2 linked regions of the Rattus norvegicus genome follow. The protein of the gene in region 2 purifies or fractionates together with the protein of the main gene of each other region. This does not show direct contact. Links are inferred from orthologs where the notes say so. Each region holds a gene or a part of one and is shown on either strand. Other genes may lie near its edges.

Evidence for each region.
Region 1: the proteins of Brms1 (region 2) and Sap30 purify together in Homo sapiens (affinity purification with mass spectrometry; 3 studies listed by BioGRID and IntAct, with this or other methods). This does not show direct contact. The link is inferred for Rattus norvegicus from reciprocal best matches to the Homo sapiens genes BRMS1 and SAP30.

Annotation. Positions count from the first base shown.
Region 1 is NC_086034.1:37,756,490-37,761,971, forward strand, and holds the start of Sap30 (histone deacetylase complex subunit SAP30), read left to right. Parts: upstream 1-2,004; 5' UTR 2,005-2,277; coding exon 2,278-2,592; intron 2,593-4,368; coding exon 4,369-4,494; intron 4,495-4,841; coding exon 4,842-4,940; intron 4,941-5,482. UniProt on the Homo sapiens protein: Involved in the functional recruitment of the Sin3-histone deacetylase complex (HDAC) to a specific subset of N-CoR corepressor complexes. Capable of transcription repression by N-CoR.
Region 2 is NC_086019.1:211,772,920-211,778,353, reverse strand, and holds the start of Brms1 (breast cancer metastasis-suppressor 1 homolog), read right to left. Parts: upstream 3,213-5,434; 5' UTR 3,151-3,212; intron 1-3,150. Other genes in the region: B4gat1 (beta-1,4-glucuronyltransferase 1), read right to left, coding at 4,134-4,325, 4,569-5,434. UniProt on the Homo sapiens protein: Transcriptional repressor. Down-regulates transcription activation by NF-kappa-B by promoting the deacetylation of RELA at 'Lys-310'. Promotes HDAC1 binding to promoter regions.

The DNA of each region.
Region 1 (5,482 bases), on a different chromosome or scaffold from region 2:
TCACAGTGCCAAGCCTCAGCTGCTCTTCATGACCCCTTCATACCAGCACTACCTGGGTGACGCTTACACGTTACCAAGTCCAGCATGAGGTACAACATTTGCTATCTCTGGAACACAGCTTCTTTGTACTTTCAGAAAACACTTCCCAGAAGATATCACCTCCAGGATGCTGATCTCTTCTTAATCACTGCTAATTTCTTAATTCCAGCTAACCAGCATCTATTGTCCCAGTAATCCCTTCTATTCTTTAAAGCCAGCCACATAGCCAGAGCTGCTGGGTTCTGCTGCTTGTTGAGGCTGGCCCTTCCTTATTCTATTACCAGCTTTCTGTTTTCCAACTTCTTCACTGCCTAAGCTTAGCTGCCTGTAACTTGCTCTGTATTGTATATTTATAGACCTTGAACTCAGAGATATGCATGGCTCTGTCTCCTTAACACTGGGATTAAAGGCATGTACTACCATGGTTGGATTTTTTATTTATTTATTTATTTATTTATTTATTTATTTATTTATTTATTTTTATAGGAGTACACTATAGCCATCCACAGACACACCAGAAGAGGGCGTTGGATTCCATTACAGATGGTTGTGAGCCACCATGTGGTTGCTGGGAATTGAACTCAGGACCTCTGGAAGAGCAGTCAGTGCTCTTAACCTCTGAGCCATCTCTCCAGCCCATGGTTGGATTTAACTACTCGGAATTTGCTCTGTCCCAAGCTGGTCTTGAACTCAGAGATCTGCTTGGCTTTGTCTCTTTGCATTAAAGGTATGTACTACCATGCTTGGACCTAAGCTTTTCATGGCCTCTATTCCTCAAGATCCAGATCAAAAGCCTGTGTCTTTCAGTCTCAAGATCTGGATCACAAGTGTGCCCTCCATACACAGATAACATGGATAACTTTTATTTTTGCCATGTTGATATATACATACATATACATACATATATACATACACACATATATGTACATAGTCACTGAATTGACAAAATCTTAAAAAGGCTTTCTTTCAAAACTCCACCTGAAATGCATTATTTTTGCTTAATCAGTAGGATTGCTAAATAGTCCAATAATTAGCAGAGGTGCAGGGTTGGCATGGCCACGCCCATCCCTCCACCCCGCCCACCACAAGCGCAGGCAAGAATACACGCTACGCGGGCACAAACACGTACCCAGGCGCGCACGCGCGCAAACTACCCCACCCGCGACACACATAAGCGCACACACATGCATATATATATGACTCAAGAGAAGAGGGTTCTCCGTCCTCGTCCTCTACAGCCAGCGCAGAGAAGTTTTTGAGGAGCAGTCAGCAAAGGTGATACTAGTGTGGTTCCTTTAAATGGTCTCAAATCCTCTTAGATCCTTTTGAAAGGGATCCAAGCTGCAGTAGAGGCGACAGGCAGCCCAATGCCTGTCAACCGGTTGGCACACGAGTGTACCGAGGACCTGACACGCTCTAGAAATCAGCTGCGGCACGGAGATGGAGACGTAGGACTCTGCGCCTAAAGAGCTCTAGGTAGCGCGAGTTTTTCCATAAATACCAACAGCCCGTAAACTTTTTCTCACTTAATCTTTACTAACCCACCACACACACACACACACACACACACACACACACACACACACACACACACACATATTTAGGCTTCTTTCTAGGAGTCAGCTGGCGGTCTGAACACTAACTTTGCGAAGAAACAGGAGCTAAATCCAGCCCTTGCTCGCATGACAGTACAGAGACGAGAAAACACGGTAAACGCCTGACCTCACAGTCAGATTTGCCCAGTGCTTGGAATAGAAAAAAAAAAAAAAAAAAAAAAAAAGACCCACGGGTGGCTCGCCGCGCGATGCATGCTGGGACGAGTAGTTTGTCCCGTCGGTCCCGCACGTAATCAGAACAGAGCGCAAGTTGGCTCCGCGACCAAGAACTACCATTCCCGTGGGGCCTCGCGGCAGGGGAGGGGCGGGGCCGGAGGAGGGGCGTCTCCCTCGCGCAGGTTCTGGGGCTAGAAGGAGGCGGAGAAGCTTCGGTCCAACTGCTGAAGTCTCCATGTGACAGTGAGTGGGGTCCCGTTTCTAGGCGCCACTCCAGTCCTGATCACAGTCACAGGAACGGGCCGCTATTCCAGCACCGGCAGACCGGCAGGCTTTGGACTCTGGGCGTCGGACCGTGCGGCCGCCAGACTTGGGGTGCGGAGTGAACGGCCGCCCCGGGGAAGGAGGCGGAGCGGCGCGGCGAGCGGGGCTCTGTAGCGGCGCCGGCGCCCCCGAACTGGCAGACATGAACGGCTTCACTCCGGAGGAGATGAGCCGAGGCGGGGATGCGGCCGCCGCCGTGGCCGCTGTGGTCGCTGCTGCAGCTGCCGCCGCCTCGGCGGGGAATGGGAACGCTGCCGGCGGTGGGGCAGAGGTACCCGGTGCCGGTGCGGTGTCCGCTTCTGGGCCACCTGGAGCGGCCGGTCCGGGCCCCGGGCAACTCTGTTGTTTGCGTGAGGACGGTGAGCGGTGCGGGCGAGCGGCAGGCAACGCCAGCTTCAGCAAGAGGATCCAGAAGAGCATCTCCCAGAAGAAGGTGAAGATCGAGCTGGATAAGAGTGTAAGTGGCCCCGGGACCGCCCTGCCCTGCCTTATCCTGCGTGCCCTGCCCGATCTTTGGCGGGGTTCACGAGTCTCTGAGACTGGGCTGCAGGTGGGATTAGTGGTTCTCTGATTGAAACAAAGTCCCTGCAACTCCGGCCACCTTCCCCCCAGCGCGCGCTCGCGCAGTGGTGCGGGTCCCCTCCTCCCCTCACCCGGACTCCCGCTGCCTCGCGTGTCTCCCACGCCAGGCTTCCCTCTTCCTCCTTTGCTGCGATCTGGAAACGAAACAAAGGGGACCGCGACACCAAGTAGTTTTCTCGCAGCCGTGTAGTCCCTTCTGGAATGGAGGCGCCTTTGTTTTGCTGCCAGAGCCGGTGTCTGCCCCAGGGAGCAGCTCTGTAGCTCTGTTCCTCTAGGGAAAGTAGAGTCTGGCTGGATCCCACAATGCTTCTCTCTCTCTCTCTCTCTCTCTCTCTCTCTCTCTCTCTCTCTCTCTCTCTCTCTCTCTCTCTCTCTCTCTCTCTCTCTCTCTCTCTCTCTCTCTCTCTCTCTCTTTCTCTCTCTCTCTCTCTCTCTCTCTCTCTCTCCCCTTCCTTCTGCCCCCCCCCCCTTTTCTTTTTCTTTCCTCCTCGGTGTTCTCTTTCTCTTGAACACAGGCAGGGAAGCCGAGCTCACCAGTTGCCTTGCAGAGAGATGGTTGTAAACGGCGTTTGCGGTGTCAGCTCTTCGGGCAGCTGCTCTGAACCAAGGCTGCAAATAAGCCTCTGCGGTTTTACAACCCTCTCGGCAGCCATCGGGATTTCTTTTTCTGTCTTTATGCACGTCTGCTGTTTTGGCCAGCTATGAGGTTTCAGAGAATTCCACTACTACTTTTCAGAGCTCTGACTGATGGCAAAGGAAGAACAAGATACAGAACCTCCACACATCCTGTATATTTTTAACTTGCCCTTAGCTTAGAAGTCAATTGAAAAGCCTGTTCATTCGGCCTTTAATTGTAGCCTTAAAAGCGGGGAGGGGGAGAGTGTCAACCAGCTCAGTACTTTCTATCCCACCGTATATAACTCTCAAATGCCTGAGTAATTACATTTTTTTGAAAAGTTTATTTGTGATTCTGTTTGGGCAGTTTCTCAGTAGGGTCCATGAGAAACTTTGTAAGTGAACGTGAATAATTTCAATTTGCTTTAATTGAAAACAACATAATACAGTGAAATGCATTCATTTAATTCTTGAAAAGAAACCTTGGGGCTTGAAATTTAAACATAGGATATGAATATGAATTCAATGACACATTCGTAAAAAAATGCATACTTTGTATCTGTGTAGAATTTGACTATCTAATTAGAAAGATAAGGAAGCATATGTGCCATTAATATAATTTGCTGTTCTCAAGTTAGAGAAAATACTAACAAGTACAAAATTGTGGGCAATGTCACCTCTCCCCTTAAGTCAAAACCAGCAGGAGCTAACTTATTTAGGTCACCCTCGATGCAATTTGGTGACAAAACACAGAGGATTGGAATTTCTCTTCCTCTGCTTGTCTGCCTGCCAGGTGCCTGCCTGAGTTCTCCAACCATTCTTCCTACCAGCCCATCACTTTCTACTACACCCCTCCCCCAATCTCCTTAACAGTATCACAGATTGCTAATGTTACAGCAGTTTAGTATTGGAAAGAAACATGCATCCTCTTGCCAGTGCCATTAGACTGTTTTTAGTGAGCTGCCTGGGCCTGTGCAGTTTACTGACCTTAGTTTTCTGGACTCACAGTCTTTTAACCTTTCTTTGTCCTTTCCAGGCAAGGCATCTTTACATTTGTGACTATCATAAGAACCTAATTCAGAGTGTTCGAAACAGAAGGAAGAGGAAAGGGAGCGATGATGATGGAGGAGACTCACCTGTTCAGGACATCGACACTCCAGAGGTAGACCGCAGGGTTTTCTATAGTGAATTGTCAATCATAATCACACTGGCAACTCCAAAACCGTTCTGTAAATATTTAACCATTTAAAGCATCTGAGAAATCTCAAAATTAAATACAGCCAGTAAGTTGGCTTTATATTAATATTAAATCTCAGATGACAGTCTTATAGTTCTTGATATACAACTTCCCCTTTTATTTCTCCAAAAGTTTATAATATGTATTCCCCAAAGATGGAATTGTTTCATAAATTACAGGTCTGATTTTGTAAATGAAGTCATGTGAAGTGCCATACAGATCAGTGATATCTTTTTAGCAGAGTGATCTAATTCATGTTATTTTTTTTCTAGGTTGATTTGTACCAATTACAAGTAAATACACTTAGAAGATACAAAAGACACTTCAAGCTTCCAACCAGACCAGGTCTAAATAAAGCACAACTTGTTGAGGTATATATAAATATGCTTTATACTGGGAAACAATCCTGTTTACAGCAACAAGGTATCACTAGGTGATGATGAAATAGAGAAATGCAGTATACTGAATAGTACATTACATGCAGTAAAGTCAAAGTTAATAGGCCTATCGTGGAAGAGTAGAGATCTTTAGAAACATCTGTCTGCCACTGAGAAAAATCTCTTCAGTGAGTACTCAGTGGATTATATTCAGAGTATGTACAGCGTCTTTTAATAGTGATTTTTAGAGTAAATATTCAATAAGAAATTTTTATCATCGTTCTAGAATTCTGTTTTAAATTTCTAATTATTCAATGAATATTTATTGAGGGAATATAAATATGGAGTGGAATTGAAATGGAATATTTCCATTGCAGGATGGAAAATAAATAGCTTATAAGTATTTATTAGAATTTAGTTTTCAGAGATTCTGTGGAACAAGTCTGCAGGGTTTTATTACTTTCTAGCTTTACTTTCAGATACATTTGCCTTTGTTAGGAGTTTTAAGTAGAGGATACTTTCTTTACATCAAGAGA
Region 2 (5,434 bases):
TGTTCACAGCTGTTTTTGAGAATTGGTCTGTTGTCCAAGCCACAGGACTACAGGCTTGTTTCTCTCCATTCAGTTAAGTCCCCTTCTTCATAAATGATCCTGACGCAGGTTTTTATTTTGTTTGGTGAAGGACTAAGGATTGAACTTGGGTTCTCATAAATGCTGAGCCCAAACTACCACTGAGCAATACCCTAAGTCCCTAGCATTCCTAAGGACGTGAACAGGAAGCACCTTCCCATGTGGGAATTCAGATGTGCTCAGGTTTTTCTACCATTAAGGGAAAACAGAAGGGGCTGGAGAGATGGCTCAGTGGTTTAGAGCACTGACTTCTCTTCCAAGAGGTCCTGAGTTTAATTCCCAGCAAACACATGGTGGCTCACAACCATCTGTAATGGGGGTCTGATGTTCTCTTCTGGTGTGTCTGAAAACAGCTACAGCATACCCACATATATAAAAAAAGAAATCTGGGGTTGGGGATTTAGCTCAGTGGTAGAGCACTTGCCTAGCAAGCTCAAGGCCCTGGGTTCGGTCCCCAGCTCCAAAAAAAAGAAAAAAGAAAAAAAAAAAGAAATCTAAAAAAAGAAGAGAGAGAGAGAGAGAGAGAGAGAGAGAGAGAGAGAGGCCAGGTGGTAGTGGCACATGCCTTTAATCCCAGTGCTCCAGAGGCAGAGGCAGAGGCAGAGGCAGGTGGAACTCTGAGTTCAAGGCCAGCCTAGTCTACAGAGGGAGTTCCAGGACAGCCATTGGGGGGGTGGAAGTAGTGGGGAGCAGAGAATTGTGATAATGTTTCTAGCTTATATGAGGTCTTGGACTCAACTCTCAGTACTAGAAAGAAATAAACAAGAGCCTGATGAGGTTCATACACATAATCCCAACCCCCCACATCCTGACGCAGGTCTGCAAGTTCTAGGCCATTGTGGGTTAGATAGTGATGCTCTGTCTTAAAACAAAAGCAAATAAAAGCAGTATGTCAGGGGTATAGTTCAGTGGTAGAATTGCTGCTTAAAGAGGCACTTGGACTAGATCCCTCTGGAAAAAACAAACACAAATAAAAAAATAAAGCCAGGTGTAGTGGTTATCTTAGCACTCAGGAGAATTACTACAAATTCAAGCTCAGCCTGCTATACAGAGTTTCAGGCTGGCAATAGCTGGTGAGGCCGTGTCAAAAACTTACTTATTTCAAATAAATAAATAAGTAGGTAAAAGAATGAATGCAGAAATATGAAACTTGGCTCGGTTTACTTAATTTCCTACAGTTCTCCAGGCCTTGTGCACACTTGCTATTCTGACTTTCAGCATTTGGATATCCAGCACTCACAGTGAAACCACTGTGGCAGAATTACACATCAACTGCCTTGTAGCAAACGCTGTTTTTCAGTGCTTGCCTTAGGTGAGCTTTCTCTTTCAGAAACATTAAACACTGCTAAGTCCCTCCACCCACCTTTTAGCTTACTAAACACTTAATATATGCCTGGTACCAACAGTCACTGTGGATTGTGGCAGATGCTATACCATAGCTACGACAGTCAGTCTTTGGCCTCGAGGAAATAACAACTTCCTGGGAGGGAAGGCAAAGAAACAGACCTTTATAACGGTGTGTGTGAAGAGAGACAAACTAAGGTGTTATGGGAGAGGTGTTTACACAGGATCTGGAGCTTGCTGCTACAGTGACAGCTTCCAGAGGGAGACAGACTAGGTGAGGACCAGGCTGACATGAGAGAAACATTCCCGGCAGAGTACAAAGACCTAGATGTGAGAAAAGGACCGGGGACATAGGTATGCAAGCTTCCACTAGACCTAGGCTCCACCACCTCCATTTGGCAAGTTGTTTAGGCTGAATGTAGTCTGACTATTCAGGCAGAAACGTGACAAGGGGTCTTTGCTGGAATTCTCAAGGTCAACAAAGGAGGCAGGGGGAGAAACCTCTGCAGAGCAGATTGAAAATCCTAAAGTTGGGGGTTGGGGATTTAGCTCAGTGGTAGAGCGCTTGCCTAGGAAGCGCAAGGCCCTGGGTTCGGTCCCCAGCTCCGAAAAAAAGAACCCCCCCCCAAAAAAAATCCTAAAGTTGGGGTGGAAGGTATTTTCAGAATGAAGGAGACATGAGAGGTTGATGCTGCCAGATCACCCGAGAGAATAAGCCATCTTGGATGTAGAAGCTTCTAGTTCACACTGGTGTAAATGGTGTTATTTCTACATCTCTGGTTGCTGCTCTGTAAGTCTTCCCCGTGCCTCCCCCAGAAGGTTTTTTGTCCCATGTTCTCCCATTCTCATGTCCGTCCACCCAGTGAAATGTGGGTGTTTCATCAGGACAGGGGCTGCAATCTGTCCTATTCACCTAGTGCAGTACCAGCTCACTTGATGACCCAAGACTTCTTCTTTTTTTTTTTTTTTTTTTTTGGTTCTTTTTTTTTTTTTTTCCGGAGTTGGGGACCGAACCCAGGGCCTTGCACTTCCTAGGCAAGCGCTCTACCACTGAGCTAAATCCCCAACCCCGACCCAAGACTTCTAAACACAAATTAACAAACCTTTGCGGTACAGGAATTGAGTTTTACTTCTTGGTAGCCCTACTTGGAGTGGTGCCAACGCTCCTTCACACCCATTCAAGTAATTATAGTGCCGGAGCTGCAGGAGAGTTTAAGTAGCATTCCCTCCTGCTCTAAAATCCAGATCTCCAAAATAGTCTCACCGTTCCCCTTCTCAAGCCTCAGATCCCCTTCACTAACAATTCCTTTTCACCGTGGTATATATGCTTGCTAAGACGCAGGGCGAACTCAACGATCTCCTTCCTCCAGCTGACTCTGATCCTGACTTCGTTAAATGAAGTCACAACCGTCCCTCCTTAACCCGGGTACAATAGGGGATATATACCATTGCTGAGGATTGTTGGGAATGAAGAGGCACACGGTAAAGTGCGATGTACATGAGATTTCTCTTTACAAACGTATAAGCACCTCCAGAGCAAACCTCCAGGGAAAGCGGACCCCTCCCTACAAACACAGGAAACAAACTGAGGCGCAAGGGACCGTCCAACCCCGATCCACCCTCAGAACCGCCGGCTCCTCTCAGGCCAGCACGAGCCGGGCCGGTTAAGTCTCTGCTTTGACTCCGACCCGGGAAGCCCAACCCAGCGCTAGGCGTGGCCATACGCACCGCAGAGACTGGGGCCTCCGGTCCCGGAGAGCTGTCGGACACAGGTGAACGCTCCGCCGTTGGTCTCCCGAAGAGAGCTGCGCAGGTCCCTCTTTCTCCAGGAGGTGTCGACGCTTCCGTGTACGTCATCAGAAGGCGCCCATTGTGGAGCTTACAATGGAACTACTGGTGTCCAGGCATGCCGGGAAACGGCGGACGGGTCTCCATAGCAACTGGCCTACAGTCCCAGGCCTTCAGCCTGTCCTAGCATTGTGGTCTGTGTCCTTGGGTCCACCGCCATATAACACGATACTCTGGCCCACCACCCCTCAGCTTAGGAGAGTAACAGAGCCAGCTGTGGGTGTAACACTCGTTTATTTACACACTGTCATCCGAAGGCAAATGAGTAGCCCGACCTCCAGGAGGGCACAGAGCTGGGACTTTTAACCCCCAGGACCTACAGACCCTTTCCTCCTTGGAGCTCGGAGGGTGGAGGGCGCAGGCATGAAGAGAACGAGGAAGCTTACATTTTACGCCAGTTCTGAGCACTACGTTCTATGTTTTCATCTTTCCAAAAGGCTCATTTTATTAAATACTCAAGCTCTAGCCCATTCATACTTTTTGCTCTGCCGCTATCCACCCAACATTGTTAATAATAACAATATCATAATAATAACACTGTAGCAATATTAATACTTCACATTTGTACGAAGTTTACAGGATGTTTTCACATACAGCGTCTCATCTGAGCCAACAGTTCTGTGAGGTAGGTATTTTCACCTCCCTTTTTACAGACGGGGTAATGGAGGCTCAGAGAAGGAACAGGTTTTGCTCAAGGCCACCCTACTAGTTAGTGGTAAAGCTGAGACTTGCTCCCAGCACCTCATAGTCAAGTCCAGTGTTCCAAAACCACAGCTACCTCTGTAAAGTGGAGGCATGTTCTTACCCCAGTCAGGCCTGAAGCGCCAGATGCTGAAAATTCTCAGACCGTGGAAGGAAAGAACTCAGCATCGGTGGGGAGAGTTGGGGTACCTAGCCTTCAACTCCTGTTTGAATTGTCGGTAAAGAATCTTATTGCGCTGGTTTTCAGCCTCCTTTTGGGGGTGAAACTTCAATGCCTCCTTGAATCCCTTATGAACCAGAAAACCTTCGTTCAGCACCTCAAAATTAAACCCTGCCATGTGCAGTTCACAAGCCTGGAGAGATGGAGGAGAGGAGAGGGAAGAGAGGGAGAGAGACAGAGAGAGGTCATAATAATTTAATCATAATAACTTAATGATATCCCCAGGGCCCAAATGATCATCCTTAAAGTGTCACTCCACCCTCCTCAATTCTACACCATCCATCTTCTTGCTTCATTGCCTCTTTCCCACCAATGGCCACTCCATCCCTGACATACCTCCAGTTCCAGTCCCACATGCCCTCTCCTTTTTAAGTACCTGGCTGATTCGATTGAAACCATACTGCCGAAAGCGTTCATCAAATGTGGGCACCTTTCCTCCAGCCACGTAAAACGGTTCCCAGGGGTCCCTCCAGGGCACCACGTAGGCAGGTCTCAGCAAACTCTCTTCTGGCAGGTTGACCCAGCGGGAGTAGTTGGTGGGCGCATGGCAAGGCGTGCATAGCCCATAATAGAAGGGCCGGACTTCGCCCACCTGATAGAGCTGTACTAGCTCGTTCTTGTTCATCGGCATCCGGCGGGCTCGGCGAATTTCAAACGCAGGCACCACCAGGGCTGTGCCATCCCAGTGGTTACTCTGATCCAACATTTCCCTTAGGCTTCTCCACAGCCCTTCGCTAGGCACCATGTCCACATCGATCACCAGGGCATAATTGGCTTCTTCTCGAGCCAGATTCCTTAACAGGTTATTGGGATAGGAGATGTTGGTCCCCAGTGCATAATTAATCCCGGGTTGGGCCACCCTGGCTAGCTTGTCAAAGACCTCTTGACAGGACCGCAGCAGGGCAAACTCCCCAGGCTCTCGGGGGTCGGGCACAGCGGCCTCATAACGCGAGGGGCACACGAGGTGCATGGCGACCCTGGCGCGCATCTCGGGGCAGTGGCTGCTCAGCGCGTAGGCCAGCACCGTGGCCAGCTGCGCCTCTTCTCTGGTGGCCGCGAACACTGAAACGGACAGCGGACCCTCCCAGCGCTCCAGAAGTCCGGACAGGTGCAGTAGGTTGTCTACGCTGGCATGCGTGGCCAAGATGACATCGTTGGGGTCCATGGTGGTCTTCAGTAGACCCCTGTAGACGCGATAATCGCCGCTGGCATCCAGAACGCCTCCGGAGGCCAGTGCGGTGC